4 linked regions of the Drosophila melanogaster genome follow. The protein of the gene in region 4 interacts with the protein of the main gene of each other region in a pairwise test. Each region holds a gene or a part of one and is shown on either strand. Other genes may lie near its edges.

Region 1 (6,377 bases), on a different chromosome or scaffold from region 4:
GTTGATGATATTCTCTCGCGTTTGCATGCGATTGCAGGACACTAGATGAGCAGGAGTACAGGCCTTGGCCAGTCCAGCCCCCTCGTAGCAGACCATATAAGGATAACATGGTCCGGCATTGGGTAAAAGTCGCAGGGTAATCGCCAATGGTTCCGCTTTCTGAGCTGGCTTCTTGACCATCGAGGGGGATTTAGTGGTTATGCCTACGGGATCCCGGCATCTCGACACCAACTTTCGATCCAAACAGCGTTCCAATTTTTCGTCGTAGTAATGACCATCCAAGCACTCGGCCTCAAAGGATCCTGGACCGGCACAATATATGTATTTGGAGCAATTGCTAGAGCTGGCGACATAAACTCCCAATTGTGGAGCACTGGCACACTCTTCGAACTCCAGGGCACTGGATCGATGACCCAGCAAGGTCACCAAAATAATTGTTAAGAAGGTTACAGCTCCCATTTCATTTATTTTTTTAACGACCGAAATAGCGGGATGACTTCTGTAGACTGACTTCATCGATGATGGGTTGAGTATATTTTTGCATGTGCTCCAACTGATAAAGAAGACAAGTTATTCCATCGATTACTACGCTGGTTATCGTCTGGTAGATACCGCTAATGAGCACATGGCAGTAACTGCCACGCCCACTCTGGGCGGTCTCGGTAATTTGCATTTTCGTAGCATACTTCGCAGCAGCAGCAAAGCAACCGAGTATTTAATGATACCACACCGCAGCATAATGCTCGACTGGGCGCCGGTTCAATAAAAATTGAAAATGCACTCAATTCGCAATTAAGTGTCGCCACTTCCGTACGGACAAGCGGACAAACGGACGGACAAGCGGACAAATGGACGGATAAACGGACGGATGGATGGTCGTCGAACGATACCATTCAGGCCATTCAATCCATTCATCGCAGTCATCCTCATTATTATTTCCATCGTCATCGTGGTCGTTGCTGGTCGGAGTTAAGCGATGGCCATCGATTTAATATCCGATGAGATATTCATAACTTGCAATTAGGTTTGGTGGCTCTGCGCTTTACGTAAATGATTGCGTAGCCGATTAATGAAGAATTACCAGTGCAAATGGCTGGGATCTGTGGGCATTATCCAATTGACCAACTACCATGCTACCCCACTACCATTACCATTACCATAATGTGCAATGTGCCAATTGGGCTCAAATTAAAAGTTTTATTAATTGTCAATTAAACGCTGTCGCCCAGCAGCTGCTTTGTGGCATAATTTTTGGGTCAATCTGCATATCTGATTAACAGGTTATACCGCTCAGTCTACTACATATACCATGCACCAGATGCCGCGGGGCACAGACAACAAGAAGTAAAAGAAAGGACCCCATATGGTGCCGACGGCTCAAGTGATTAAGTGCACGACGAGATCTTCAAATGCAGTGCAACATGTGCACAAATACAAAACACACACACACACACACACACACGCATATTGAAAATGTATGTAAATTCTAATTAAGATTGTGGATGAAGACCCCCAGCACCTTGATACTTCTGCTCAATGCGCATTGCGCATGCGCAGCCCCGCATCCGAAGATCCATAAAAATAGCTCACTAATTATTTGTGTGCTAGGGTTACAGTTCTCATAAAAAACAAACAAACTGTCGGGCGTTTTATGGATCTTCTGCCTCTATGGCCTCAATGCCCCCGCGAAGTTTTCGATCCCCATTCGATTCGAAACCGAAGAAGAGCTACGACCAATCACTTTTCAATTCCTATGAGCAGTTGAGCATCAATTGATTTCGATATGAAAATAAAATACATTTATTTATTATCACATTACGTATCACAGCCATTCGCCCGCCTACGCCCTGGCATCTGGATCGCCACATCCATCGTGCGGACCTTGTGCCGGCATTTCCGAGCTGATTAGCCTCCGAATCTCGACCAGAACCCGGTCCGTTCGAGCCTCCAGGTTGTCGAGGGCGGTGTTTAGGTCATCCAAGCTGGAATTGACTCTGGCCATCAGACGCTCCGAGTTGTTGGTCAGCTCGATGAGGTCATCGAAACTGCTGGCCTGGCGACTCTCCATCGATATCCTGTCCAGATCCAGCTGCAGCTGCTCATCGGCGCTGTCCATCTGGGCTTTAAGGGCTGGGAAAACAACTTTCGATTTAAATTTAAATTTTTTTCACCCTAAATCATGATTTTCGGTGTTATTTTGTGCCATGCGATCCGAAGTGTAAAGCAAATTTGACTTGGTTTGTTTTGCTATCGAACATAATTAAAGTTGCTTACCATAAACCAATTTAATTTAATTGTAATTGCAGCTAACTGGCTTTTGGGTACTTTTGCTTTTAACGCCAAATGTGAAATATTAAGTATATTTTATTTAAGCGATGGCACCTGTAAATTGAGATTTAAGGGGTATATTAAATGGGTGAACTTGATGATTTTTTTTTTTCATCAAACGTTTATTAAAGTCTATTGCTTAAAAAAATGAAAGTAAATTGCTTGCCATTTTAGGAGGATATTTTTGAAAAATCGTTACAACTTTTCAAATACAATAAATTAAATGTTTTGAAAAATATTTGCGCCCAGGGCACCAGAAAGTCCACTCTTCTTTTTCGACTATTGTTTGTTTTGCTTTGTTTGTAATTGGCGAGCTATTACAAGAGCTACACTCGTTCATTTCATTAAACCCATTTACAAAATGGCTTTGTCCATTATTTATACATATCAATTATAAATTTGTGCGCTGCGACTGCAATATTCATATTCACTTGTCAAAATGTCAACTCAAAATAGAATATTTATGAATTTTTATGTGTGCATATCGGTCCGTGATTTGTTTGTTTTACGCTCTCCTTTCGAGAACTCTTTGTTAGCATTCAGGATTGGGTTGAAGTAAATAATAAAAAAAATGCAGCAACCAGAAAAGAGGAGAAAATGACAATTCAGCCTATAAATACGCGGCGGCAACCGAAGTTGAAATCAATTTTTTTGGCCCCATACTGCGGTGGTCGCGTTCCCCCCCACCCCCGCACCAGTTTGGTACTGAAAATTGGAAGTGGGCTCCACCGAATGCGGTGCCACTATTTAGTTTAGCCGCAGAACAAGGTGCCTCAATTTATTTTTAATTGCATGCAAATTGAGCCAATCGGCCGGCTGATGGATGTGGTTGCTTGTCCAACGATGCGGTCTTTTTTTTCGGCTATTAAGAGGATGGACTGCTGCTCCTTTCTGTTTCATCTGCTGGCTTAGGCATTTTCACTTAATGAATTTTCATTCAAAGTGACTGCTGCAAGGATGTGTCGTCCTGGCTGTGAAGTGAACTTCCTGCCATTAACCGAACTGCTGCTGCTGCTGCTGCCAGCATGGTGGCCAAAAAGTATGCCTCTGTTGACGTTTTCTTTGTGGTTGGCTAAAATCTGTTATTATTGCCATTAAGCTGGCTTTTGTTGTCATCTCTCCGGCCTGCCTACATACGCATACACATACATCTATGTATGCATATGCATTTGTGCATTTACCCTGCCGATATCCTTCAGCTCGAGTGGTTGTGTGGATTTTCCTGGTCTTCCAGCGGGTTAACTTGGATCTGTTCTTGAGGTTGTTATCACTTGGTTATTGAATTTTCCGCACACACTTTACAAGCTCTAAATCTAAACGGCTCAACTTGTTGCCGCCGCCCAGTTTGAAAACGTTTTTGTTACTGCTCGTCGTCATTAGTTGAAAAGCGCTCTTAGTTTGCCTCGTTTGTTTGCCGAAAAGTCTCATTGTTGCCACGTCTTTGGGTCCGGCTTCTTCTGGTTCTGTTGTTGCTGCATAACGCAGCCTGTTGTTGTCATCAGGTTGCATTTGCGTTTTACACTGTTTTGCCCAAATAAAGGCATATAATTTATGTGTGTGGTAGTAGTCCTGGTCGTTGTGCCACGTTGAATGTCCTTACCGAGCTTATATCCGAGCGGAGAATACTAAGTGAGCTGCAGCTCCATTGTGGTCCATAAACTTTGTCACGCTGTGTAGCCTCTTCCCTGGCTGCCGGCACTGGTTGTGGCCATCCTGGCCGAAGGACACTGCTTTGGAGGCGATTGCTCAGGCAGGACATGTGTGCCCCGCATCGCTGCCCGTTATTGTTTTCCAACTTTTCACTTTGGTTATGAGATGTCCGAGCGCCGCAGTCAGTTGCACGCTCGCCTCCATCAGCGTCGTCTCCATTCTCCATGCCGCTGACCACAGCGGACAACGTGGACTTTTTGACCAAGCTGGTCGTGTTCGTGCCCCGAGTGGCATACACGGCAAGAAACTATTAGGGAAGATTCAAAAAATTATTGAAGAAAACAAACTGGAACAAACTGGAATGGTGCCTTACTTGGTCTAACCATCTGTCTACATGATATATATAACATAACATAATTAGGAATACCCATTTCAAAGTGTAAATCCTCAAGATTGCATCTTAGCTCAATATTTTCTTAAGCACAAATCTTGACGTGCATGCAATTCATCATAATAATCCCTTCTTTTTTTTCCGCAGTGGAAGGACGTGTGTGCTGGTGAGTGCTGTTATGCTTATATCCTGCGGCTTAAGCATTTGTTGTTTTACAACGTTTCAGTCTGTTTGCCAAGTAAATAAAAGCTGTTAACTAGTTTTCACACACCGAAGCCGAAAAGGTGGCGGCAGGCGCTTGGAATCGCATCGGATTGGGATGGTTTGGAATGGGCTTGGCTGGGATTACATGGTTGGGTTTTCCGAGACGAGCTGCAACACGTGCTGGACAGTTTTTTGCTCGGCTCGTCCTGTTTCACTTCCTGTGCCTCGGCCAGTGCCATTCTAAATGCTTTTGTGCGTAACACTCGTGTATGAGCAATTATTTAATGCCGTCCGCTTGTCATTGTTGTCTTTGGGCCCAGAGTGTTGCCTTTGTCTTGGCCCGAACAGTAGTGGAAGCCAGTACTGGCAGTGGCAGTGGGCCAAGTCAGCTACAGCCGAGTTGTCTTTGCCGTGTCTGCCCCTTTTGTGTCGCTCATTTATTTGTGTTTATCCTTTCGCTTTTAATTGCGGCTCCGTCCTGCTCCTGCAGGACCCTCCTGCCACCGCCGCCGCCCTTTGTGTAATTACAAGTGTTTGTTGTGTAAATAATAGCGTTAGCTGCCTGGGCCGAGTACCATCGTTGACGCATCGTTTGCATGCTCAGTTAATGCCGTGCATCAGGACATCCTCCATTGTCCCTATTCCACCATTCCGCCGTCTGTGTGTTTATCTCTGTGTGCGAGTCTGCTTCTGTCTCTGTCTGTGGCACGCAAAATTAATTACAAGAATTAAGCAGCGCAACGCCCGATCTGCCGGCATTGACACAGGTGTTTTGGCCGCCCGCCGTAACGTATTTTCCTTAGATAATTCCCACACAGCTCGACAGCCATGTGCTGCACCTTGAACTCGAACTTAGACTAGGGGAAATGCTGCTGCACGGAAGAAAATTCAAAGTACTCGAAGTACTAACTACAACAATCCCACATAGAAAGTGAGTTTTGTGCTTCTAGATACCCTTTTAGTTTCATAACATCCATTTTTTCTGTGTGAAACTCCGAGCATTTCTGGAGGCGGGACATTAATTCATTCACCTAGAGACACTTACATGTGGTGCCCATTAGCTCGTTGCCACGCCCCCGTGAAAGGCGAAAGGCAAATGCCAGCGAGCCATGCGACGCCAAAAATTTCCATTTCGTTGCTTGAACCGTGCATAAATATGTCAATAGGGATTATCCCATCCCGGGCGGCAATAAAATCTTCGGGAGCTATAAAAAAAAAAAAATGAATGGAAAATAAAAATGGGGAAAATGAAAACCTCAGCTAAACAAACAGCGGCAGCGGGAGCTGCAACTTGATTATCCTGGCAACCTGCCGCGCATTTTTCCCGCCGCTGAATTATGACATTCGACTGTCAGTGTGGGTTCAAGTGGATTTGGGTTAGAAGGCATCCATGTTGCTTGGCTGCTCCCGGCAGGCGTGAGAATGCGTTATCCTTGCACCTAAACAAACACATCCGAAGCAGCATCCTGATGCGGTAGCTCCTCGAATCCTGGCCGAGTGTCATGTTGCAGAATGTTTTCGATCCTACGGATTCTTGTGCATTACACGACCGGCTAATTTATTTACTTTACGGCCCGCGGTGCACTTGTTGCGTTGCTGTACTAAACTGGAACACATGTTCCAAGGATAATAATCGAAATGGCCTGTTATCCGTGTCTCATTATGTCCTGCACTTGCTGCTGTTTCTGCTCTCGCGGTAGCACTTCAGATTGGTGTTGACAGCCGCGCTGAGAAATTGCCTCGCCCTTCTGCCTTTCCACCTTTTTTGTGTTTCTTTTTTTTTTTGGTTTTTAATATTTCTTTG
Region 2 (6,705 bases), about 13 Mb from region 4:
GGCGCAGCGAGACCAGCTGCTTGTTGATGCACCACTCCTGCTCCGATTCCTCGATGGCTTTCTTGAAGTAGAAGGGCGCCATCTCTCCTTGGCTGGCGGGAATTGGGATGCAGTGGACGCTGAGATGCGGCCGACGGTGCAGCTTGTTGGCAATCTCGTAGAAGACGACATCCTGGCGCCGGGCAGCGAACATGCGGGTGAGTGCCTTACGGAAGTTGCTTATCTCCTCCCAGGCATCTTCGTCTAGTTGCGTGCAGCAGGGTACATGCTGCAGGGTCGTCAGAATGCAGTGACCGCTCTGGAGGCCCATGTACCACGGCAAACTGAGATAGATCTTATCGCCCAGGGAAACGAGCAGCTGTTTGTCCAACTTGGCGGAGTCAAAACACCGCTCGCAGTTGTCCAGCGTGGCCACCAGTTTCTCGTGCTCCCTAATGGCGCTCTGCATCTCCCGCTTTTCAGCATCGCTGGCTGAGATCTGTTTGCGCACCTTATCAGCGAATATGTCATCCAAGTCATCGTTGGGATTCTTGTGCTTGGACACAATGTCGGCATACTGGAGATTGACTTCTGCGGCTGTGGCGTGTTTTTCCCGCTCGAACTGGAGGTTAAAATATGTTACTATTTAGTATTTGCTTTTGAAAGTTGAACTTACCATTTGCTTAATATCGTAGCGGTCATCATCGGCAAAGTATCTTACACGCTGACCATCCACGTGGGTGTCCACTTTCTTGCTGCCGCGTTTTGGTCCCATCCTGCCACCGTACGATTCGTTCGGATCGCCGGACTGCACCAGCGGACGCACGTTGCCGCTCTGGTCCACCTTGGTGAGCAGCACGTGCTCTGCTGAGGCCTTGGACTTGGCTGGCCTGGTATTTGCATTCCGCACTGACTCGCCGGAGGCAATGAACTCTGCTCGCTCCTTCCGTGCGGCCTCCAATTGCTGATTGAGTTCCGCCGCCAGTTCTTTCTTTCCTTTGAGCTCTGCCTTGATGGCCTTGCCGGCCAGCTCATTGATCTGTTCGTCTGTGAGGCAGGATGGTCTGGACTTGGGCTGCTGCACCGCCTCCTCCTCCTCCTCATCAGATGATGTGGCACTTTTGGAGCGGGATCTGCTTCTTCTGGGCGGACTGGGAGCCTTTGCGCCTGGTTTTCGCCAACCGCGTGAGGATCCCTGTGCGGAGCTGCTGGAATGCGGCTTGGCCTGCCGTTCATCGTCGTCCTGTGGCTTCTGGAAACCGGGCAGACCCGTGCCATTGCTCTTCCAGTAGGGATTGAGCTCACGGCCACTCTTGGCCGGATCGTAGGCATCAATTTGTTGGGCCTTCTCGTTGGGCTTCGCTGGCTCCTTGCGTTCCCTGGAGAACGTCTTCAGAAGGAGAGACTCGCTGGTCATCCAGTCGTCCCGCTGAGGGGGCTCCTTCTTAGTGACATTGTCCGCCGCGAGAGGCGGAGGAGCCTCCACCCACTCGTCCTCGCTGGCGCTTTCCTTACGGCTCCTCTTGGACTTCTTCTTGCGTCGCTTGCGCTCCTTTTCATCCTCACTGAACGAGGAGGAAGATGAAGTGGAACTTTCGCTGCTACTGCTGCTGTTGCGGTGCTTCCTGCTCTTCTTCGATGACTTGGACTTGGACCTGGACTTGTGCTTGGAAACATTCTTCTTTGACTTTTTGGCGGGCTTCTCCAGTTTCTTGGCCAACGCGGGCAGCATCCAGTCGGCTTCGCCGCGCAGCTCCTTCTGCCTCTCCCGCTGCCCACGCAGTTCCGCCCGCTCCTTGGCCTGCTGCAGCATCGCCTCCCGGGCCTCCCGGAGCTCCTGGCGCGCCTTATCCTTTTCTCTGCCGCTTTCAAATTGTATGTAGCTCATGTCTAATTTGGTTCTTCTTGTTTACCAAAACATTAGTGTTAGAGATGGACAAATATGCACAACAGTGATATCGCTTAAGTCACTACTGAATAACAGACATATCGCTTAACTCACTATTGAAAAGTTGATTGCAATATACAACAAGAGAGAATGATATAGTCAAATTCCCCGTTACTCGGCTAGTGTGAATGCGAAAGCGAAATTTAATAAATTTAATTTAATTTTAATTTTAGAATCTGTATGGTGAATCTCAACCTTCTAGCTTTTATAATTCCTGAAATTTTGGCGCTCATACGGACATGAAAAGATCGACTCGGCTATTGATCCTAATCAAGAATATATATACTTCATATGGTCGGAAACGTTTCCATCTTCCTGTTACATACACTTCAACAATTCTAGTATAGCCTTTAACTTTACAACGGGTATAAAAAAGTATCAAAAAATTCCAAAGGAGTGTTTTTTATTTATAAAGTTAATTCTCAACAAGACTTGAAGTCATATTAAAATCTAAAGTTTAAAGGCGCTTTTTATATATAATTAATGACCTGCCTGTTCTTAGTCCTCATCCGAGGAAGTTTCATTCTTGATCTTGTCGGACTTGCGCTTTTGCAACTCCTGCTCCACGTCGGGGTCCTTGACCAGGTGCTCTAACTTGATGTCGGACAAGTTGGGACAGTCGCGCACCGGGCATAGGATGCCAATGTTGTCCTTGATGATCATTAAAACCGTTTCGCGGTCGTAGATATGACCGCACCTTTTGTTGCGCACGGGGTGCTTTATCAGGAGCTTGGACCAGGGATCGTGGAACGGGACGACCTCGACGCCGAAGTCTTCCATGATAAGGTCCTCATCAAGGCCGGCGATATTCTTTTGAGCTTCTGATTCCACCGCATTCATGTAGTTCGTGTCCTCAAGTGAGTTATTGACATCGATGCGCATCTGCTCCACAGCTTCGGGGCGCTCCTTGCAGACTTCCTCGGACTTCTCGATGGTGTTGCTAGAGTTTTTGGTTAGCAACTTCTCCCCGTCATCGCTGGAATTGGACACGACTGTGGGTGGGTGTGTTTTAAAGATGTTAAAGATGTCTCGGTTTGTCACATGGCTCACCTTCTGCCATTTCCCTGAAGAGCTTTTGGTGGGATTTCGGGTCCATTTTGATCATAAATTTTATTCAGACGCTTTTCAAATTGCAAATCCAGAATATTTAGATCGAAATGTCAAGACTGACGCTTCGGTTAAGCTAGGACCGATAATTTCGACAGGCAGCCTATCGAGGGTGTAATCGTTCTTTTGAGAACCGTTAATAATCGTGATGTGCGTCAAGTTAGCGTAGGTGAGTTAGCGTCGGTCAGTTAGTGCAGATGGCGGATCGGTAGAATTTTGAACATGGGGAAGTTTTTTATTTATTTTATTTTGTTGGGTTGTGGGCATTAGAGTGGGCGTGGCAATATGGGCATGCGCTGCGTCTATGTCTCTAGAATCTGTATGGTTAATCTCAACCTTCTAGCTTTTATAGTTCCTCAGATTTCGGCGTTCATACGGACATGATCAGATCGACTCGGCTATTGTTCCTGATCAAGAATATATATACTTTATATGGTCGGAAACGCTTTCTTCTGCCAGTTACATACTTTTTAACAAATCTACTATACCCTTTCACGAGTAACGGGTATAAAACTGAATATATTTGATAATATTATACTGAAGCTACCAATTTCCGATGCTGTAAATTGCATAATTTATTATGAAATAAAAACACTAATACTTATTATGTCAGCGGAACATAATAAGAATATTTGAGTCTAGAGGTTTTATCTCCAAGGGCATGACAACGCCATGGCAACCCTTTTTGCTTGTGTCAAGAACTCAAAAAAGAAGGCGATGACTTTGCAGTCTACAAGTCACATTTATAATTTGGCGTGAGGACCTCAGTTGATTCACATATCCGAGCGGATAATACTTAACTATTTGCAAAGCACAGCATTTTTAAGATGACCATTTCAAGAAAATGCTTTACGCATACAAGTTGATAGGTTTTCTAAACGAAACAATGAAGTCCTACGATTCTTCATAGAGCTCACCGATTTCATTATTCCGTTCACCGCTCCCGATAGATTCTTCGTTATTTGTAGAGATTTCCAGCGCAAGTCGCCAACAGCTGGCCCATTGACCAAGGCACCCATGCCGGAAGCTTTTTCCGGCAAAAAACCAAAAACAATGAGGAAGCAGCCATGCTGAAGGACCCCATGGCTTGCGGGGATTCAGAGCCGAAGCTTAGCAATGGTAAATCAGTCTGGATCTCCTCTGAAGATAGTAGCGATCCGGATAATGACAAGGTGCCATTGGTGCCATATGAGTCTGATGTGGATCGTCTGCGGCAAAGACTCGCTAGAATGTTTCGGCGATGATTTCGATGGCAATCGTGCTATATATTCATTTGTTTCTACATTTGTACCAATTTTCTAAATAAATCGCAAACTATATACATACGTGCATACTGCACTTCTAATATATTTTCTCTAAATTTTTTCGGGACTATTTTTAAAACATGTTTATTCGTTGTACCTTAAATTTTCATCAAATGGTTGTCTTACAAGAACGTGATATCTTACGCTGCGTTATTAGTCGACAAGAAGGAAGTTGCGCATAATTAATGATCTGCCTGTTCATCGTCCTCCTCCGAGGAAGTTTCTTTCTCGATCGCGTCAGACATGCGCTCTTGCAACTTCTGCTGTAGGTTGGAGTCCTTGACCAGGTGCGCTGGATGGATGTAGGACCTGTTGGGACAGCCGAGCACTGGGCATCGAATACCAATGTTGTCCGTGATGATCAGCATCACCGAGTCGCGGTCGTAGATGTGGCCGCACTTTTTGTTGCGCACGGGGTTCTTTATCAAGGCTTTGGACCAGGGATCGTAGAGCGAGAAGACCTCGCCGCCGGTGGCTTCCATGATAAGGTCCTCGTCATGGGCGGCGCTATTCGCTTGACCATTTGTTTCCGCACCCGCCTGGGGAGCTGCCGCTTTCATGAAGTTTTTGAACTCGGCTGAGTTCTTGACATCGATGCGCTTCTGCTCCACCGCTTCGGAGCGCTCCTTCCAGACTTCCTCGAACTTCTCGATGGTGTTGCTAGAGTTTTTGGCATGCTTCATAGCCTTGCTGAGCAATTGGTGCTTGCTCTTCATTCGGATGAGATTCTCGGCGAGATCCACGTTCTGGTCCAACAACTTCTGGATCTCCCTGCCATCACTGAAATCGGACACGACTGTGGGTAGGTTTTAAAGATGTCTCAGTGTGTCGCATGGCTTACCTTCTGCCATTTCTTTGAAGAACTTTTGGTTTTCCAATAAAGTGGTAAGTGCCGAATCCACATGGTAATTGAAGTCCATTTTAAAGCCCAGATTCTATGCAGACGCTTTGCAAATTGCAAATCCAGAATATTTGGATCCAAATGTTCAAGACTGACGCTTAGCTAGGTTCAGCTAGGACCGATAAGTTCGATAGGCAGCCTAACGAGGGTGTAATCGGTATTTGGCGAACTGTTAATAATCGTGGTGTATAAGCATGGATTTTATGCCTGAAATTTAAGTAAAATAAATGTGCGTCAAATTAGCGACTCTAAAATAAAATGTAAAATGAGTTAACTTAGAGTGACCATATCCCCAACATACGGTCTTATCCACCCGCGAGCTATCGCGGTTATCGGTGTTATCGGCCAATGTCAACCTGGATAACGAGCGGCGGCCAACTTTTCAGTGTGCCAAACGCCGAGCAGACGGACGAGCAGCGCCAGCGCGACCGCCACTGCCACCAGTTGCTGCGGACCAATCCAAGTCACAACCAATCCGCTCCGATCCGATCCCAGCCAACGAGTGCCAGCTGTGCGCCCCAGCTGCAGCTACACGTGTCCCCAGGGTGAAAGCGCTATCCAAGATGCGGACGCACGGACTACGGTTGGTGCTCTTGGCCCTGCTGCCCACGATGGCCCTGGGCCTGCTAGAGGGCCTGTACTGTGGCAAGGAAAACTGTTACGACGTGCTGGGCGTCACCAGAGAGTCGTCCAAGTCGGAGATCGGCAAAGCATACCGCCAGCTGGCGAGGCGCTATCATCCAGATCTGCATCGGGGTGCCGAGGCCAAGGCGGCGGCGGAGACGCAGTTTAAGCTGGTGGCCACCGCCTACGAGATCCTGCGCGATGAGGAGTCGCGCACGGACTACGATTACATGCTGGACAACCCGGATGCATACTATGCGCATTACTATCGCTACTACCGGCGACGCGTGGCGCCCAAGGTGGATGTGCGCGTGGTTATCGTGGTCGTCCTAACCATTGTGTCCGTCATCCAGTACTATTCCGGCTGGCAGCGCTACGATTCTGCCATCAAGTACTTTGCCACGGTGCCCAAGTATAGGAACCAGGCCCTGGAAATAGCTCGCGACGAGATCCAGGAAAAGATCCAGAAGAAGGGCAAGAATCGTATGTCCAAGAACGATCAGCGCGATGAGCTGGAACGGATCATCCGGCGGGTGATCGAGGAGAAGATGGACGTTAAGGGCGGCTATGCGAAGCCGACACTCTGGGATGTGCTGTGGGTGCAGCTGATCATCTGCCCCTACACGATACTCTCGTTCATCGTGTGGCACGCTCAGTGGTTCTGGCGCTACACGGTAATGAAGCAGCCGTATGGCCGCGAGCAGAAGCTCTACCTCATCCGCCGGCACCTGGGCATGGGCCAGCATCAGTTCGAGGCGCAGGAGGACAAGCTGATCGAGGAGTACCTGCATCTGAAGCTGTGGAAGCGCGAGAACTTCGTCGCCTGGAAGGCAGAACAGGAA
Region 3 (11,140 bases), on a different chromosome or scaffold from region 4:
TTCTTCTAAAGAACCAAAATCTCGTGTATAGCTATAGCCTTTATATTTGTTATTTATGAATTTGTTATCGAACTAAGCACCCATCTCTTGTAGCCAAAATATTGAGAACATTTTTAAAATCGGCTCTTGATTGCCATTGTTTTTATAAATGTATAGTGCAAATAAAATTGTTTTGTAAAATTTGTTTTAAATTTTTATTTAGTTTTCATTTCGTTTAAGATTATGATTTCTTAGAAAATGCAGCTCGTTACCAAGCATCAAGTTATTCATCAACTGAAACATTCCATTATTGAACTGTAGAACTAAGTGCTTTTATAATAGATATAAAAACTAAAAACTTCGCTTGTCAAGGATCTCCACGAATGGGAGGAGTGTTGGGATAGGTAGGTGTGTCTTAACTAATGCATAAATATACAATAAGTCTAGGTACTATATATAAAACTCGAACTATTTGTCTAGATCAACTTGCACTTGGGCATTGAACAAAATCAAAAATTATCACAGTTAAATTCCGTGCATTCGACAGAAGACACACTACATTATTCTTACTTGGTATACAAAATAGTTTCATTTGTTTACTTACCGTTGAATATTTTTGCTAAGAACTGAATTGGGAATCATTTTGGAATAGTTGCATATACACAAATTGCACGATTAAATTAAAATAATTATCTTAATAAATGATTACAACTAAAGCTTGTCTAATCTGATCTGGTTGGGTCTATGCCCTAATCCTGCGTTGAAGGTGGCAGCGTCCAGATTACGTACTTTTCCTTGTCCTGCGCTTCCTTGTGCCCACCGTTGTAATTGCGATTGTTTCCCGGCTTCGAGTAGCGCCGAAACTTAAAGTTAGCAAACACATCCCGCTTGCCATCGGGCTCCAGTGATTGTCCATCTAGCTCTAGATTACGCTGCAGACCAACGCCAGGAATCGGCAGCTCATCGTTGGGCTTACGAAAGTTGTAGAGCCCTTTTCTTTGCTTCAGCTGCTGAGCTTGGCTGCTTGCCGGCGAAGGTGTCTTTTTAGGACTACCAATCTTGGGCAGGGGCTTGGGATCCAGCATCAGCATGGGAAACAGCGCATCGTCCGCATCAAAGTACCACGGACGTGTAAAAAGATAGCCGGCACTGTAGTAAGGCTTGAATATCGGCTCATTTGAGCAAATACTGAACGCGTGGTAGGCGTGTGAAATGAGCTGCGGGAAGCGATCCACCCAGTAGTTGGTGAATTCGTGCGGAATGCAGCCCAGCATCTTCTGGGCGGCTGGCGTTAGCTCGTGATAATGATGCTTTTTGTTGCGCAGAGCACGGAGCAAATCTCGTACACTGGCGCCCATATATCCGCGGTACTTCCTCAAATCATCCGTGATCATGGGGTCCAGATGGACATTCCAATCGTCTAAAACGACTATCCGCCCGTTCTTCTCCAGCGACTTGAGCGGTTCAGCATGGAATTGCAACTTCTCCACACGATCGCTGACATCCTGGAGGAACGAGAGCATTTTAGGCTCATCCCAAAAGAGCGGATGATTTCCGATACAACGAGCTGGAGGTCGCGATTGCGGATCCTTGTGTATCATATCCGATATTAATTGCTCAGCAAGGATCTTTAAAATAAAATGAAGTAATTAGAACAACTAGCTATAACTTTTTGGTGAAGATAACCTACAATTCGGCTGTCCTCACTGTCGTCCTCTGGGCGCAGCTTGGCCAGATTGTATTCGTGGGAGAGTATGTTGGCCTGTCGCTTCAGATTGTCACCAAAGGCGTGGTGACCGCCACTTAAAACATAATAATAAACGCAGCCCAAGGAAAATATATCCACAGCAGTTGTCTGTAAATAATTGAAAGACATCGATTTTAGAAAGTTCTTGTGATGGTGAAGAAGTAGTGTAGGGTAATAATAAAAATCATGTCGTACCGTTCGCTGTGATCTCATCATTTCTGGGGCTATCCATCCATCGGTGCCTGTTACACCCGATCGGCGTGAGAAACTAGTCTTGCCAAAATTCAGCTTCTTGCACAGCCCAAAATCGGAGATCATGACACGTACTTTGCCCTTGGCGTCTGGCAGAGAAATAAGAACATTTTGCGGCTTAATGTCGCGATGCACAATGTCGAGAGAGTGAAGATGACTAAGTCCAGATGCAGCCTGGCTCAACACTTGCCAAACATCGATGTGATTTTGAAGTTCCAGCGAGCGATCTCCTTCGGTGTAGTCCTGCAGAGTGGCCGCGCACAGCTCGACGGCTATGTAGCGGAACTGGCGATCCTGTTCGGTGCAGAAGTAGCGCACCACATTTTCGTGCGCGTCCGATTCTCGCAATAGGGCCACCTCGCGATCAGCAAAGGTGAAGCATTCGGGCAGCAGCCGTTTTACGGCTACGAAACGTTCCTCGAATGTGCCCTTAAAGACAAAAGTACCCTCGCAGCCCTTTCCCAGCACTTCATTTGTGCTGAAGCTGATCTTGCCCACACGCACTTGTCCATTACCCAAGTCCACTAGGTCTTCAGCGTTCGCATTGCTACCATTGCTGCCAGTGCTTCCATTGGATCCATTTTGGGCTATGGCAAAGGTTTTTGAACCATTCTCGCTCTGCTTTTGCAGCTCCCTCATTGTGCTGCAGGTGTACCAGAACAAGGCAATCATACCCAGAACGATAACAATTAGAATCTGATGCACCTTTCCGCTAGGATGCTCCATAAACCACTCGTTGATAAAGGCCTGCACCTTATTGCTGTTCTGCAGTATTATTGTCTTCGTCCGATTAATGGTGTTCCCATTCGTCCGCTGATCAATGCCAATTTCGACCAGCTCGGGATCCGTTTGCACGCCAATGTCGGCGGCGTTCTTTTCATTATTGGCCAACAGGCCGTAGCCATCGTTATAGTTGTGAATGGTGGCCAGACTTTGAACCACCTTGCTGCTGGCTGTCGTCGGTGACAGCTGCAGGTTACCATTACCCTCATTGGGCATGTTGTAGTGTCCCAACATAATTCCTGCATGCTCTTGCAGCACATCGTTAATGTAAATGGTGCGCGGATCTGTCTCTTGGTTGCTGTTCTGGTCTCCTGTAGGTCCATCCAGGAGTTTTATAGGTGGTGCTGTGGAAATACGAGGCGTGTTCTTGTCCACCAGCGAAGGCAGGGCATACAAGCCCTTTTGATGTTCGCCCACATAAAGGGATTGGCTGTTGAAAATATTACAATTAATATGGAATTCAGGACGAATATCGTATGTCCCTTACAATAGCTTCACGGTGTTCACATTTCCTGTTTTCGACTCCTCGAGGATGGCCTGGTAAGCCTCATCAGAGACCGTGGTGAATGGCACACTGAGTAGCCCGTCTGGTCCCAAAAGGAATGCAGCCACCACTGGGCTGCTCAGATCGCGCTGCCACAGAAATTTACCGTGTTTTCGATCCAGAGTCACAATTTGTCCATTGGTGGTGGTGGTCAGATGTATATACTCTGCGTGCGGGAGATCATAAGCAAATGTGTACACTCTTATATTATGAGATGCACTTACCATATTCCTTGGCCAGCTCAGGAGGAGCACTCACAGCATTGTAGTCGTAAAATGTGATATTCCATGGCTTAGCATCCTTGTTCTTAGCCAGGCTGTCGTACATCATGACCGTGTACTGAGTCCGGCCTAGATAGATGGCCCGCGAAGTGGCCCAGCCGATCTGCTCGCCCTCCTTACCATCCACTGTGGCATCGCCAAAGCCCATAACCTTTTCGCGTCTGCCCGTCTTAGGATCCACCATATACCAGGTGTCGCTCTTTTTCCCTGAGTACAGGATTCCATCGGAGGAACGACAGGGAGCATTGGCCACCAGTTGGGGAATGGTGTACGGTAACTTCTTAAGACTGCCCATCTGACCCAGCTGGTAAATGCTGCCATCTCGAGGATCGGGCAGAAAGTGCGGAACCTGAACATTCTCCTGATGTTCTGCTACTATAGGAGGATCTAAAAGAAATACAATTATAGCTTAAAAGTAAAATCATAAAAGAAAAACAAAGTAATAAACATGATTGCAAATTCGAAATCGTGATAAAGTCCGATTCCTTTGCATCCATGTAAAAGCACAATATATGCAAAATCACACAAAATGTATTCCGAGTGGTGTTAAACTTTCAAATCGCATACTGCATCGAATTCATTACAAGTTGTTTTGTTACGACAAGATAACCTAATATATATATACTCCGCGCCAAAAACACATTTGACTAGCCGGCAATAACAATATTTTTAGTTTTATTTTGCTTCTTTTTATTTCCTTTTATTACCCAGTATTAACTAGTAATGAACATTTCATGTCTATTTTTGACGAATTTTAAAAAATCCCACTGTTATCAATTAAAAATTTTAGTTTAAGCAGAAATTTCTGAATTCCAGATTATTATTCAATACTCAGCTTTAGTTAGCAAGTATACTTATTATTATTATCTTTTCAATTTAGAGTGATGAACCCCTTTTGCAGTAAATTATTTTAAGTGTGCACAGTAAACAAATTCCAATAAAAAGTTCCTGATATCGGTGCAACTAACGTGGAGTAAAGTAAGGGAAATATAATAAATTATAACCAGAACCTGTTCTCGATAACGCTTATCTCCTGATGTATGTACATACTTATACCGATGGGAACGAAAATGTAATCTATACATTAACCCCATCCCAAGCGGAGAGCACATTTTCTGGTGCACATTAAAGAACGTGAACACTTTCCACCAAAAGGCCCGAATAAATTAAGCGGCTTTTTGGCGCGGCAGACAAAGCCAAAGCAAACAGCAGTTGGGTAAATACGAAATAGACCTGGGGGACCCATGGCTGGCTGATCAAATCCAAAGTGTTTACGCCAGTCGTGTTGGCAATTTCTTTCTGTTATCGCCAACAATTCGCGCGAGGCAACAGCGTTAAATTCTGACTTTGTCGAATGCAAATGGAGACCATCATCGCATGCACGATATTGACGAAATGGTTTAAACAAAACTCAAGTATTGCCAGGAAAGATGGTCGTCAACCAATATCGAGTAATGAAACCAAACAATTCGATGTACTGTCCATTCTTATCAATAATTAGTTGCAACCCCAAAAACATTCCCGGCATTAACCGAATGTTGCCGCAATTTCTGGGGCAGGTCATTTAACTCGCCGCAGCACTTTCATTAGCATGAGCATTCTAATTGCCTAGCGGTAGTCGTAGACAAAACCTGATTCCGTCTCGTGATGAGGTAATAGAACCTAACAAATCGGTACACCGATCTGCTGTGCTAGAGCCGGCGAAACAGTGTAATTACCGCGAATCAAAAACATATTATTGGCTTGAATGACTCGGAAAAATACTGCCCAAATAGTGCGCTCTGCCATGAAACCGCTAGTCAGATGCTGTCCACATGTTTGTCTCCCTGAATTTTCAATCATTTGCAGTTCCACGAAGCCCGGCGACAAGCGGGCAGCATGAAATTTCTAATAATACGAATGGACATACATGTGTATTGCAGCTATCACATAAAATAATCTTCACGGGGCGTGGGTTTTTTATTTCAGAAATTAAACAAACATGTGGAGGGCGTATTGTCCACAGAGAGTCATTTGGCATAACTCCAATACTTAGTTGGGGAGTAATTAAAGGAAGTTCTTGAGGCATTACTTATCAGGCGAATATGAATGCTCTGAAGTGGAAAATCAATCAACAAAGCCAGTGAAAATAAAAATAGCACCAGGTTTATAAGCAATATTCGATAATTCGAATTGAAAATGCCCTCACTTTTTAATTAGATAAGTGAAGCCCCATTTTAGTGATCTATTGAATGCTATACACATTAAACAAACATAATAATACTAATGGTAGCCAACAAGTGCACCAATTCAAACGAAAGCTATGCACATTAACCCCTTTAATCGCGCAATTTACTAACATCTTTCTCCTGGTGACTCATTTATATATGCCAGCTAATCTCAGAGGTTAATACGAAGCAGCCAAATGACCACAAGATTAACGCACTTGAGAGCCACCGAAAATCAATACGTCACGCTGAGAAATTATGGGAATATTCAATGAACCGAATGGAAAATGGCTCAAAGTCCCAACCACCCACTGCGGAAAGGGTATGGGGGAACAGCAACTGGTGATATGGCGCACTGGCTGGCAACTTAATTGGTGGAATTGTGTGCCGAGAACGCTTGTCGAGATTGCGCTAGACGCGGGACCTTATCAGGCCCGCAGCACAATACACAACATTAATGGCGAGAGTGAAAATAATAGAGCACGAAAGGCGGTGGAAAGATCTATCCTAGGCTCTTACATCTGGCAGATACGAAATCTGCGATGAGCTCATCGAGCGCATGCATGTGCTACGCATTTCGCACTTCAAACGGCGAGTGCAACAGCCTGGTGAAGTGGCAATTTTCCAGGAGGGGTGGTGACAGCATGGGAATAAATATATATATATAGCTAGATCTCTTAAGATCTTTAAATCTACTATGCAAATAAAGCGGCAATTTCCCTAAAAAAAAAAGACTCCTAGATTTAGCTTAAAACAACAATAAACGCAAATAAAACGATTTAAATTTAGCTGTTAAATGGTCTAAAGAAACATTCTCACATTTCAATGAGCAAAACAATAAACAAAACAAAAATATTCTTAATGTGGCATTCGGTAACAATTAAATTTTCCTGACTTTGCATTTATGAAAGATCTTAGTGCTTCCAGTTCGAATGTTTTCAATAACAAAACCATATTGTTTTTTTATCTTTAAAGTATTTAGATACCTAAAAACACCCATTTCCCGAGATATATGCTGGAAAATTCCCACTTTTGATAATAAGGACCCTTCTTTGCCCATCATATGTTTCGAGTCCCACACTTGTGGCCGGAAAATAGGGGTGCAGTGAGTGTGGAGGACAGCGGAGTGCCCGCGTAATTACCATCTGCTATTGTCCAGCGTATTTCGCTGGTCACCGGATCGATGGCTGTCAGTCCGCCGCCCAGTGTGGAGAACACCATCAGCGCCTCCTCGTCGCGGGCGAGGTCCGTGCAGTCCTGCGGGTTGTGGAAGAGCGAGAGAAACTTATGAACAACATATCGGGCAAGGTGATGAAATATTCATTGGTAGTCCAGTGTTAGCCCTTAGTGGGTCATACGGCCCAGTGCCGCCCCCACTTACCGTCTTCTCATCCTCGCCGCTGCTGACGACTTCTGCCGAGTCGCCCTGTTGTGATTTTGCTGTAGCTGATGCAATAAGCCCGCTGGCCAGCAAAAATAACACGCAACAAACAACAACGCAGAATCTCATTTTGTTTTTGCAACCGGTAGGGCGCGGGGCGGGGGTATTAGAAGAGAAAAGAGAGCGAAAGAGAGAGGGAACTAGTTACTGCTATTTCCGATCCGTATTCAGTTTGCACGTTTAGTCAGTTTTCGTTTCTTGTTTGTGGCATATTATCGCCTCTTTTTCAAAACTTTTCAATCATCAAACACTGTTGCAGCTCTGGCCGTGCTAAATTTCACATTTTCTTCGCACTCGCGTTCAATATTTTCCAATTACGTTCGCCATTGTTGAGTTGAGAGTTCGTCGAGTGAGCGGAGTAGAGTGACAGTGGGCAGATAATTGGGAAAAGACCGTACTGGTTTGAAGTGTGACCAGGGAGCACGCAACGAGCCAAATATGCAACGAAATAATATCCCATTCACACTGACGCTTGAGATGGCAGCAATGGAAATCTTATTGTTACCCATCGCTGTTGCCATAAAATCAATTTAAATGTGAAAAGATCTTTTTATTCCAACATGGATAAAATTGTAACATATACGTGGTAATATAATGTGAGCTTTGGAGTTTCTGCGCTTGCAGTGTAAACTTCCCAGAACTTGTATTGACTTTGGTCGATAAAAATCGATAGGCGATCTAATTTCGATATTACACAATGCGTCTTGTTTTTACGGGTAATTGTGTTTTTAAACGCCTGCTGCACACGGAAATAGGCGGAAAGTATGCCAAACAGCAGCCGCGGAACCTCAAAGGACGGAGCAAGAGCTCCCAGGAGTGGCTTACGCGCCAACTGGCGGATCCGTACGTGGAGAAGGCCCGCATGATGAACTATCGCTGCCGGAGTGCCTTCAAATTACTGGAGATCGACGACAAATACGGAATACTGCGGCCCGGAGACACAGTTTTGGAATGCGGAGCTGCTCCTGGCAGCTGGACCCAGGTGGCCGTGGAGCGGACCAATGCCAACGGAAAGCAGGAGCGGGCGCCACAGGGAGCCGTCTTTAGCATCGACCTGTTGCATTTCCATGCTGTGCCGGGTGCCACAATCTTTGGCGGCATGGATTTCACTTCTTCGCTGGCACAAAAGCGGCTGAGGGAAGCGTTACAAGACAGAAAGGTCAACTGCGTGCTGTCCGATATGGCACCCAATGCCACCGGAGTGAGGATGCTGGACCAGGAGAGCATCACTAACCTCTGCTACGAGGTGCTGCGCTTTGCCCTGGCCATGTCTGCTCCGCAGGCCCATCTGGTGGTCAAGGTGTGGGATAATGGCGACGTGCCCAAGCTGGAGCGAGATATGCTTAGGTTTTATGAGAAAGTGAAGAGAGTAAAACCGCGCGCTAGCCGCGGAGACTCCGCCGAGCACTTCCTGGTGGCCAGGAACTTTAAAGGAGCAACGGATAGTTAATTATTAACTGCGTTTTTTGGACTAGTTGAATTAAAAGCTTTGTTAATTGACTGTAGCTTATATTGGATAGAATAACTAAAGGGAAGTAACCTAGGATTAATTTCATCTCAACATTTTTGTTGATTTTCTTTTTGATGTTTTAATCTTTGTTGTTATATACAGTTCTGTAACAAATTATATGAATTTAGTTGAGTATTAACAACCCAATGCTCTCATCAACATATTTATGCATTCAAAACTCACACCAAATTATTCATGATTAATTTTAAAAACAAAGGCTTAAATTTGGTCTCCAAATTGTACTGAATAGTTTAAGTACGCATTTCCTAGTGCTTGTAATGAGTAAGGTGATCAATCATCATGTACAGCCACTTGGGCTGATCGTGAGGAGCCATGTGCCCGGCATTGCGGACCATGATCTCCACAAGATGTCCGGCGTGCTTGACATAGCCGGCCACTTCCTTCCCAACGCGCCACACTTCGCGGGGAGCCACCTTGTACTTGTCCGAGCCGGGGAACTTTAGTTGGTTGAGATAATTGCGCGTCAGTGGATAGGCAACAATAATGTCTAGCTGCCCGCTGTAGATGCACACAGTATAGTGGGCCAGCAGTTCGGCTATCCACGGGGCCACCGAGTCCATGATATCCTTCTTCAAGTGAAGTTCCACCTTGTTCTCCTTGTCCAGATCATGGAATGTCTTATTGCCCACATGAATTGCCCGCCGAGTGGCGCCCGCCTGCAGAAATTCGCCCAAGTTGGCGCCATCATCATCATGCGTCTTCAAGTAGTTGTAGTACCAGTTGTATCCAGTAAGGTTGCTGAACAGTGAGCCATTGGTAAGGTCCCCGTTGATTAGGGAATCAAATACGTCGAAGGCGCACTCCATGTCGTGACTCTTAATGCATTCAGCACCCTTTGCCTCGGCATCGTGGAAACTCTGCAGTCCGTGCTCGTCGATCAGGCCCAGCTGGTAGAGATAGTCACCGTACTTCAGCTGATGCAGCGGATCCGAGAGACCATTTCCGATGGCCACGCCCTTGAGCGGCACATAGACGCGGGTCTCTATGGCATTTTGTACCTTGTGGATGTGGTAAGCCAGGGCGGGAACGTATTTTCCGGCATAGGACTCGCCGGTGACCCAGAAACCAGAGGAGTTGCTCCACTCGAAGAGTTCGTACAGCTGCATCACAGCCTCGTGCAGATTGCGGCCCACATCCTTCTCGTTCGTAGCATAGCCGGCATCGTTCTCTGTAAAACTAAAGCCAGTGCCCACGGGATTGTCAATGTAGATGAGATTGTGTGTCTTGCTCCAGGTATAGTTGCGTTTCTGAAGCTTCCCATGACCATCCAACTCTAGTGGTCCATTCTCTGTGAACAAACCGAAGAGCGAGGAGGCACCTGGTCCACCCTGAAGCCACAGGACCACTGGCGCATATTCCGGCTCCTGCTCGGCGGGGAAGTACCAGAAGAACATGTTGGATTTGAAGCCAGGGTCCACGGTCAAATAGCCGGAGTAGCTCTCAACGCCATGGAACTGGGAGCCTACGACGCGGGCCAGCTTTTGAACCTCTTGCTTGCTCATCGAAGCATTGTTGATCAGGGGCGTCAGGAACAGGGGCTCCCCGGGATCGACACCATCGTCAAAGAACTGGTAGCGTGGATACGGATTGATGAAGCTCCGCCTGTAGGGGCGTTCCCCCTCTACTCCTTTTGCTCCGCTTATTGCGACTATAGTCGCGATAATTAAAAATGCGCAATGAGTTGCAGTTTTCATTGTTCAACTGCGCTGATTCGACTGAAAAGCGATCGAATTGTCAGTGGTTGCTTTGCTTATTCAGCTTATGTATATGTATTCTTATATTCTTATTATCGCCCCGACCTGCTCACGAATCGGCCGATAAGGGGTTTAAATCAGTTCTCTCACTTGCCTTGCTTTTATTCGCACAGCCGGCGAAAAAATTTAGCTTTCCCAATTGAGCAGCACTGATATTTCAGTGTATCCGCACCGGTCAAACGGTAGGGTTGTCAAGTGAAGCGAATTTATCAGCTGTGATTTTTTACTAAGAGCGACTTCTGAGTTATGGATTGCAAGTAGTTCTTTTGTCGGAATTATTAAAAATAATCATCAACTAACTCTATATTGGTTTAGTTTTTCGCAAATAAATGAAAGCTTGAATTTGAAAGGTTTAACCAGGGATATAAAAGTCTCCAAAGTACCTATATATGTTCTGTTTTGTTGCTTATATCACCATTTCTTCTCACTTCAAATGGTAAGAAATTCTCGTTCCCGAGGCATTCATATTTCTAGAATCCAAACAATTGGCAACATCGAATACAACGGCAGTCCGGCAAGGCCAGGGCATTTTGCGTCAAAATTTGTAGTAGCGCCGCAGCTGATTTTCCATCGCCAAACAAAGTTTGAGCAAACAATACACAATGTCAGTCGCTGACACCA
Region 4 (7,465 bases):
TATTACATAACATAATTGAAAAGTGACATTGTTTAAAGGAACTCACCTTTAATCAACTGTTGAACTTGCTGTTCATCGGATTCCGTTATTAAGTTTTAAGATTTGGGTTTACTTGTATTTACATTTTCTTTACCACTTTGATTAGCTTACACTTTCCGTTCCTGAGCTGGTCACACTGCCAGCTACAATCGATCACGTTCACTGCAACTGCCTTGAATTTTGCTAGCTGCGCTTTGTTGTGCAACAAAAACTTTGCCACAATCGATATTTAACTAATGGGGTCCATAATCGGAGACACATAAATGCAATAAATATCTTTTCGGCTATTCTCTCCTCCTTGTTTCCCACTCAAAATGCGGCTCTCTTGGCGGACTCTTCTCGTTTTCGTTTTCTTTTTCTTCTTTCTCGCCTTTCGTTCGCAGGACAAATGTGTGATGCCGGGCTCGCAAAAGACGCAGCAAATATTCATGACGTCGCAAATGCCGCCGACGTCGACGCTTGCAGCGGTAGCAACAACAATTACCACAACATCAACAACAACAACGGCAGCCAAAACAACAATAGCATCCATTGCAACCATCGCGACGATGACAAAGTCAAAGGCGAAAGCCAAAGCGATTTCAAAGAGCCATCAAATACAAATGCCGAAAGCCTAGTGCATCTCGCTCTCTTTACCGCTCACACCAGCAACACTCAGAACAACACACACCGAAACACAATATTCACGCCCATCCGCAGGCGCAACTGTTCTTAAACTAAAACTAAAATGCCGCGAAGTATGCTCTCTTTGCAAGAAGCGAGTTCGATAAGTCGGATATCGATCGATACACGACACACACACACGCATACATACATATATCCTATATTTTTGTATATTTACCAACAGCAGTTGGGCCACAGTTTTTTTTGCACATGTGTAAGAAGTGCGCTGATGAATGTAACTGTTAATCTTTTTTTTTCTAAATAAGCTCAATATACATACATAGATGTAACGGTATTTACAAGAGCATAGATAAAGCATACATATTTACATACCTGTTATTTACACGGATGCAAGCAGCAGAAAAATGTCGGAGAGTAGTTCGTACATATAATACGAGTATATACATATGTACATAGATATGTATGTATACCACATATAACGAGAGTACAAAGCACATGGAATGGTAACGAGGAACAAACAGAAACAAACGGATTGAAGGAATCACGATGTCACATCATCTGATCTGCGATCAGTGCGAATGTCGAATATTCATCACCCTAGCTTTAAGCTTACAATGCATTTTAAATGGAATATCTTGTGTGTGGAATCGTGTTTGTTTTCATTTAGTTTTGGTTTCCTACTCGCTTCACGCTATTTCGAAACTAAGAATTCAAGCCGAATTTAAAAAGAGAGGAACCTAAGAACCAGAACCCCAGTGGTCGTCAATGTCAAACTATTACGTGTATAAGGCTAGATGGAAAATGAATAAACATGATTTTATATGCATACATCTAAACTGCACTCGGCTATCGTCTACGTTCTTCATCTGGATTTGGGATCGGACTCGGGCTCGGGATCCATTAGGTTTGCCTAATTTTTTTTTTTTGGATAGGCACGTGCCGCTCGTGAATCCCCCAATTGGCATGGCTAAATTGGCAATTTCATCCCATAAGCAGCTTAATCCGATGATTTGATGGATCATCAAATGAATATTTGATGAATGAATGAATACCGTATGACCCGTATGAATAATACGGGTCAGATAGTGTGTGGGATAGTATTCAACACACGAAGATTGTGGGATACCCTACTTTTGGTTCTGATGACCACTCTAATTGCCTACCTTTTGAATACTTGTCACCTTTACTGAATACTTGACTACAGATTTCACAAACACAACAGTTGGCTGGCGATAGAAACCACAAAACATGGCGTTTACAAAGGTTACGATTACGGATTGTATTTCCAAGAAAACGACAAGTGGTACAACATCCGGGGATCACAACGAACGACAACAATAACGAGAGGTGATCTTTTGGTGGGAAGTGAGGTAGCAAAGTTGAGTGATAATTGGGCTCAGGTCAGGTGGAGTACTGGATGGGGGCTGGTTACACATGTGGGTGCTGTTCGTGTGTCTAGAAGAGCAGATCCTCGTCGCCGTCCTCGTCGAGGATATTCTGCACCTCCTGCGCTTCGGCCATTTGACCCAGAAGACGCTGCTCCGCTCGCAATTTATCGGATGCCTTGCGAGCCTCGCGTTTCTTGTCCTGAATCTTCTTCAGTCGGTAGAACTCCTCGCGCTCCAATTCGTCCAGCTCGCTGATGATATACTCTATGGTGCGGTTGATGCGGGGGATGATCACTGGATAGGAGAAGCATTCATATCAGAGGTGTATCGTTTCAAGCGATTTAGTGTGACTCACCGTGCTCGATGGCGTTGACTCGCCGGTTGGTGACCTTGATGACATCGTCGAGGGTAACAAAGGAGGTCTGCAAGGAGGCCAGTTGGACAAGCAGGCGCACGGCGCTCTGGTAGTTCTTCTTCAGCTTGGCCAGCTGCTGGCCACCACGTGCCAGGCCGGCCAACTCATAGGTGTCCACGCCATCCGTGTAGGGTTCGAAGATGGGCAACGTTACCCCGGCCACGTTGTCCTTCTTGGTGCGGATCTTGATCTGGGCCTTGGTCACGTTCTGCAGCACAATCTGATTGATGTCGCCGGTCGTAAACTTGACCTCGGCCAAGGAGAAGGCAGCCTCCTTCATCACCTGACCCATCAGGGTTTTGGTCTGGAATGAATGGGTATGATAGGATCTACGCCGCATATAGTTAGCACGCTCTCACCTCAATGATCTTGCCCAGAATCAGACGAAAGCGCATCTGCAGGGCATCCGCCTTTTTCTTTAGCAGACCATGTCCCTTGGTGGCGCCCGCCAAACGCGACTTCATCAGCGTTTGGGCCCTACAACATGGTGTATAGGGTTATTGGGTTGTGGGAGTTTAGCCAGGATTAACTACTCACCCGCGCGACGGGAAGATGGGCAGGCGGTCTTTGGCTGCCATCGGAAATCAAACAATATATGCTACCCAAAAAAATTATTAAAAAAAACAAGAGTACAACACGCACCACGCCAACCAAGTCTAAACTATAAATAACAACAACAAAATATTTACTAAATATACGCGACACAACGAAAATAAAATAGACGACAAAGTGGGGCTACAGCGGACAGAACAGCACGACGACAAACTGGGCCAGCGAATGAAGACTCATCGAGCGGATCTGGCGAGAGAACGGCGATCTTGGGTAGGCATCGCATCGCATCGGATCGGATCCGATCCGATTGGTTGTGGTAGGAGGGATTTTGGGGGGGCTCGGGATTCGATTCGTGCCCATCAGCTGTTCCGGAACAGCTGTCGCCCACGGCGAACGATGATGAGTATGGTATGTCCCCACCGCAAACACCTGTAACTCGGCGATTCTTGAGGTTCGAGATATGAAACTTGGTATGCGCACTTGAGATACTAAAATATAATAAATTATAATTAAATATATCACAAATAAATTAGACAAAGAGTAGACAAAGGTATCCGATGGGGTTGAGCGCAAACACTCTAAACTGAATGCTAGTGAACCAATGGAAAACTGTCAGCAGTAACAATTATTTATGCCATTAAATAAATTAATTATTCGTATTCATAACAGATTCATAACAATGAAAGGTAATAGTTCCAAAATTATGCCGATGGCATGGCTGGGTGAATTCTCAACATGTCATTGTCATTGTTTGGCACTTAGTAAACTTTTTTGAATCAAATTCGTACGCTATGAAATTAACTATCCCACTCAAAAACCCAAATCGGCACCATCATCAATAGTATGAGTTTCAAGAGGTTGGCACCACAGATCCTTAAGCATCCGGGATGGCGTGGTAGAGCCACTGGGATTCCCCGTTTCAAGGTCAGTTAGTGATGCCTTCCCTTCGATAGTCACTCGATATTGACCGTTAGGGCAGATTGAATTCAATTGAATCTGATTGCCATCAATGATGGACAACAAAAAGCAATAGCCACACGCAGCTAAACGCACTGCGTCACCACTGCCTATGCCTATACCTTTTTGTACTCCATCAATTTGGACGTCCACGGATCTCAGTCTCCGGTCATGGCTACATACCGTCTCGTCCATCATCCGGAGCAGAGACACGCAATTTGAATACGGGTCCAATTGTCGTCTTTTCAGCACTTTTGTGCAGAGCGAGAAATTATTGAAGATTCAGAAACTATTACCAAGTAATTCGACTATTTTATGCATCGGATTGGTTTCGACTTAAAAGATAGAAAGATTTCTTTTCAGTGCAGTCCAGGCCACGTGTTCGCCACAATTGGTCATAGCAAACTGGGCTGATAATTAATGAACGTAATGAATATGCATAGCAGGGAGTTAGTTACGCGGCGAGAAAGGTCAAAGTGGGTGGCCATTTTTGGTCAAGCAACAGTTGGTGTCTGTCTAGACTTCACGATGAGGCAAGGTCATGCTGACTACCTAGGAAATTCGTCTTCATACCATGTACATACACATATACATAATAGTTATAACATATATCAATTTAGAACATATTCAACACCCTATTTTTGAGTCGTAAGCGACAACAACTATTCATTCCGCCTCTCATATTGTGCCATATAATCAAAGGATAACACGGGTTGCCCCCTCACTTACTTAATGGTGGTAATGTCACGTTCTCGTCCTGGTCGAGAGTCAAAATCTGTATATGAGTGCGGCTCACATTGTGCGGCGGAATCAACAGTTGGTGCGTATACCACACGTATTTTTCGTGGCGCATTTGGGGCGGTGGAAACTCTCGATTTCACTGTACTTCGGCACACAAGTCACGAGCAGGCGGCAATCGCTCCCATTGCTCCAGTGTGCGTATGTTGCGTATACGCATGGCTGTCACTCGAAGGATACGAGCTCCCCGCTCCCTGTCCATACTTTAATTTCAACCCATCCCAGAGGATAGCATTTTTCTCATGCTTCGGCAATGAGGCAAACACGAGGGCGTACACGCAGCGAAAATTTGAAGTCAATTGGAGTGGTTTGACCTACAAATAACGTGTGAAATACTATTGAAACCCAAAGGTTTTTAGAGCTACACTTACGTGGAATGCGAAGTAATTTCAATTTTCATTGGTTTGCAGTTAGAAGTCTAACTTGGTCTGAGTATTTTCTCGATGTGTATTAACGGGATGCTGTCGCTGGCGCTTCGCTTGGTCGGCTGCTCCAGCTGCTCCAGTCGCATTTCGCATCTGAAAGCGCCCGCAAGTAGGTTACACATTTTTTCGTCGAGCAAAACAAACAGCGCACCTCTGCCCGCCGTCCAGCTCATCCGATCCCGATCCCATTGGCCACAGACGAACTGAGTAAGTGGAACTAACTAACAAAATCCAGCACCGAAATCGGTTGGCCACGGATGACACCGCTTTGGTCGCGGTGCCTGGGATTAGGTGGGCTATTCTCGCAGGGGGGGTGGCATTCGTTGGGGGTGTGTCATTGGGGCAACACAAAGAATAGTGAAAGTGCAGTGGGAGCGAGCGAGAGGCAAGAGGTCGAGAGTTGAAAGGACAGGCAGAGAGTTGCGACTAATTGAGTTATAGGAAAAGAGTACCCACATGTATGTACCTAGACTTTTGCAAACGAAAATTAAAATTAAAAAAATTAATAGTGCTTAAATGTACGGTTGTAATGTAATGCGTACTTACCATTCGAATTTAGTTTATATTTTAAATCATCGAGATCTATTAGTAATAATATTATTAATAAGCTCCTCCCATAGATCTTCTTTACCATCCGCAGACAATTCGGCGATTGCAGCGGCTGTGACACCATGGAGTACAAGATGATTGCACCGGAGCACAGTGAACAGGTGATGGAGCATCTGCGGCGCAACTTCTTTGCCGACGAGCCGCTAAACAAGGCCGCCGGCTTGTGCCAGAACGGCAGCAGTTGCCCCGCCCTGGAGGCGCACTGTGCCGAGGCCATACAGCACCGGATGAGCGTGATGGCTGTGGACGCAAAGGAGAAGGATACCTTGAAAATAGTCGGCGTCGTCCTCAATGGCATCCTGAAGCCGGGCGACACGGCCAAGGCGCTGAGCAAGCTGGACTGCAACGACGATGCAGATTTCCGCAAGATTTTCGACTTGCTGCACAGGCACAATCTCAAGCACAATCTCTTCGAGCACTTCGACGTGGACTGCATGTTCGATGTGCGCATCCTATCGGTGGACTCGTGCTACCGTGGCCAGGGGATTGCGAATGAGCTGGTCAAGCGGTCCGTGGCGGTGGCCAAAAAGAATGGCTTTCGCCTGCTGAAGGCCGATGCCACCGGCATCTTCTCGCAGAAGATCTTTCGTTCCCATGGCTTTGAGGTCTTCTCGGAGCAACCCTACAGCAAGTATACGGATGAGAATGGCAAGGTGATCTTGCCCGTGGAGGCGCCCCACATCAAATTGCAGCAGCTCTACAAGGCGATCTGCGCGGATGACCAGGATGAGAAGAAGCAGTCGCTTTAAGGAGTCACCCGGCTGGCTCACATTTGGAACAATAATCTCATTTATTTTCTACATATACATACATTGCATAATCGTTATTGGAATGTTTTCGTACTACAAATATGGAAATTAGTTGGGGGGCGTTTAACGGAAAGTTAAAGCTAGGGAACAATTACTATTGTTCTGTGTTTAAACATAACTATGAAATAACATTGGATTTTCGGACTTTCCGTCGACGGTTTTTGGAGCGTCAATGGAACGCCTCTATAATGTACGAGTAGACGCTGCCTGGCACGTTTACATAAATATAATTTTGTAATTGTTTTTTTTTGTATGGGGACCAACTGCTAACAATACCTAAATAAAGTACACTGTTGTGCCAAAGTTAACCAGACAGCTTTTTCTCTTACCTCCCACTCGAAGTCCCCCCCTACAAGGTCTCCTCCTAAAGTCCTAATATCACAAGCGCAGATTCCAATCATCCGTTCTCATCACCTGGCAACCTGGCGACGGCAGGTACTTCTGTTCATCTGTTCATCAATTCATCTGTTCATTTGTTCATCTGTTCCGCTGGTTTATCCATCTACTACTCCCTAGTTTCCTTCTTCTCGTATATGAAAATGATGTCCTCGTCCGTGCCGTAGGCGCGTCGGGCCGTGTCCATGGACTCGATGAGGCAGCGACAAATGTCTGTGGAACGCAGCCAAAAACGAAAATCAATGAATTTTCAAGGATTGCTACCAAATGGAATACTCACGGCCATCGTGGACCTCGGGATTGTGGTAGAAGAGCTTCTGGGCGGCCATGTCATATCCGCAGAGCACCACATAGTGTCCGGCATACCTTTTGGGTCCATGGAGGCGTGTATTTTGAGCAATGCAGGGTATATGAAAACAGCTTTTCATTCGAGTGTGGATTTAAGGTGGTTTT

Evidence for each region.
Region 1: the proteins of Vha36-3 (region 4) and CG13838 interact in a two-hybrid assay, tested with the Drosophila melanogaster proteins (one large-scale study listed by BioGRID).
Region 2: the proteins of Vha36-3 (region 4) and CG42299 interact in a two-hybrid assay, tested with the Drosophila melanogaster proteins (one large-scale study listed by BioGRID).
Region 3: the proteins of Vha36-3 (region 4) and Ire1 interact in a two-hybrid assay, tested with the Drosophila melanogaster proteins (one large-scale study listed by BioGRID).

What each region holds. Positions count from the first base shown.
Region 1 is NT_033777.3:23,038,072-23,044,448, reverse strand, and holds CG13838 (uncharacterized protein), read right to left. Parts: upstream 2,209-6,377; 5' UTR 2,117-2,208; coding exon 1,841-2,116; 3' UTR 1,780-1,840; downstream 1-1,779. Other genes in the region: CG13837 (uncharacterized protein), read right to left, coding at 1-459.
Region 2 is NC_004354.4:15,572,632-15,579,336, forward strand, and holds CG42299 (uncharacterized protein), read right to left. Parts: upstream 3,053-6,705; 5' UTR 3,033-3,052; coding exon 2,978-3,032; intron 2,920-2,977; coding exon 2,426-2,919; 3' UTR 2,316-2,425; downstream 1-2,315. Other genes in the region: CG9213 (uncharacterized protein), read right to left, coding at 1-601, 656-1,867; cerv (cervantes), read right to left, coding at 4,521-5,134, 5,180-5,258; CG7872 (uncharacterized protein), read left to right, coding at 5,803-6,705.
Region 3 is NT_033777.3:19,853,712-19,864,851, forward strand, and holds Ire1 (Inositol-requiring enzyme-1), read right to left. Parts: upstream 7,581-11,140; 5' UTR 7,304-7,580; coding exon 7,175-7,303; intron 7,051-7,174; coding exon 6,936-7,050; intron 3,974-6,935; coding exon 3,530-3,973; intron 3,472-3,529; coding exon 3,249-3,471; intron 3,192-3,248; coding exon 1,922-3,191; intron 1,835-1,921; coding exon 1,670-1,834; intron 1,608-1,669; coding exon 729-1,607; 3' UTR 197-728; downstream 1-196. Other genes in the region: Mrm2 (mitochondrial rRNA methyltransferase 2), read left to right, coding at 7,932-8,684; CG4572 (uncharacterized protein), read right to left, coding at 9,011-10,459; CG4686 (uncharacterized protein), read left to right, coding at 11,122-11,140.
Region 4 is NC_004354.4:2,577,171-2,584,635, forward strand, and holds Vha36-3 (vacuolar H[+] ATPase 36kD subunit 3), read right to left. Parts: upstream 3,391-7,465; 5' UTR 3,045-3,390; coding exon 3,004-3,044; intron 2,944-3,003; coding exon 2,826-2,943; intron 2,771-2,825; coding exon 2,407-2,770; intron 2,346-2,406; coding exon 2,119-2,345; 3' UTR 1,921-2,118; downstream 1-1,920. Other genes in the region: AANATL7 (arylalkylamine N-acetyltransferase-like 7), read left to right, coding at 5,870-6,556; CG13760 (uncharacterized protein), read right to left, coding at 7,122-7,225, 7,293-7,432. UniProt on the Drosophila melanogaster protein: Subunit of the V1 complex of vacuolar(H+)-ATPase (V-ATPase), a multisubunit enzyme composed of a peripheral complex (V1) that hydrolyzes ATP and a membrane integral complex (V0) that translocates protons.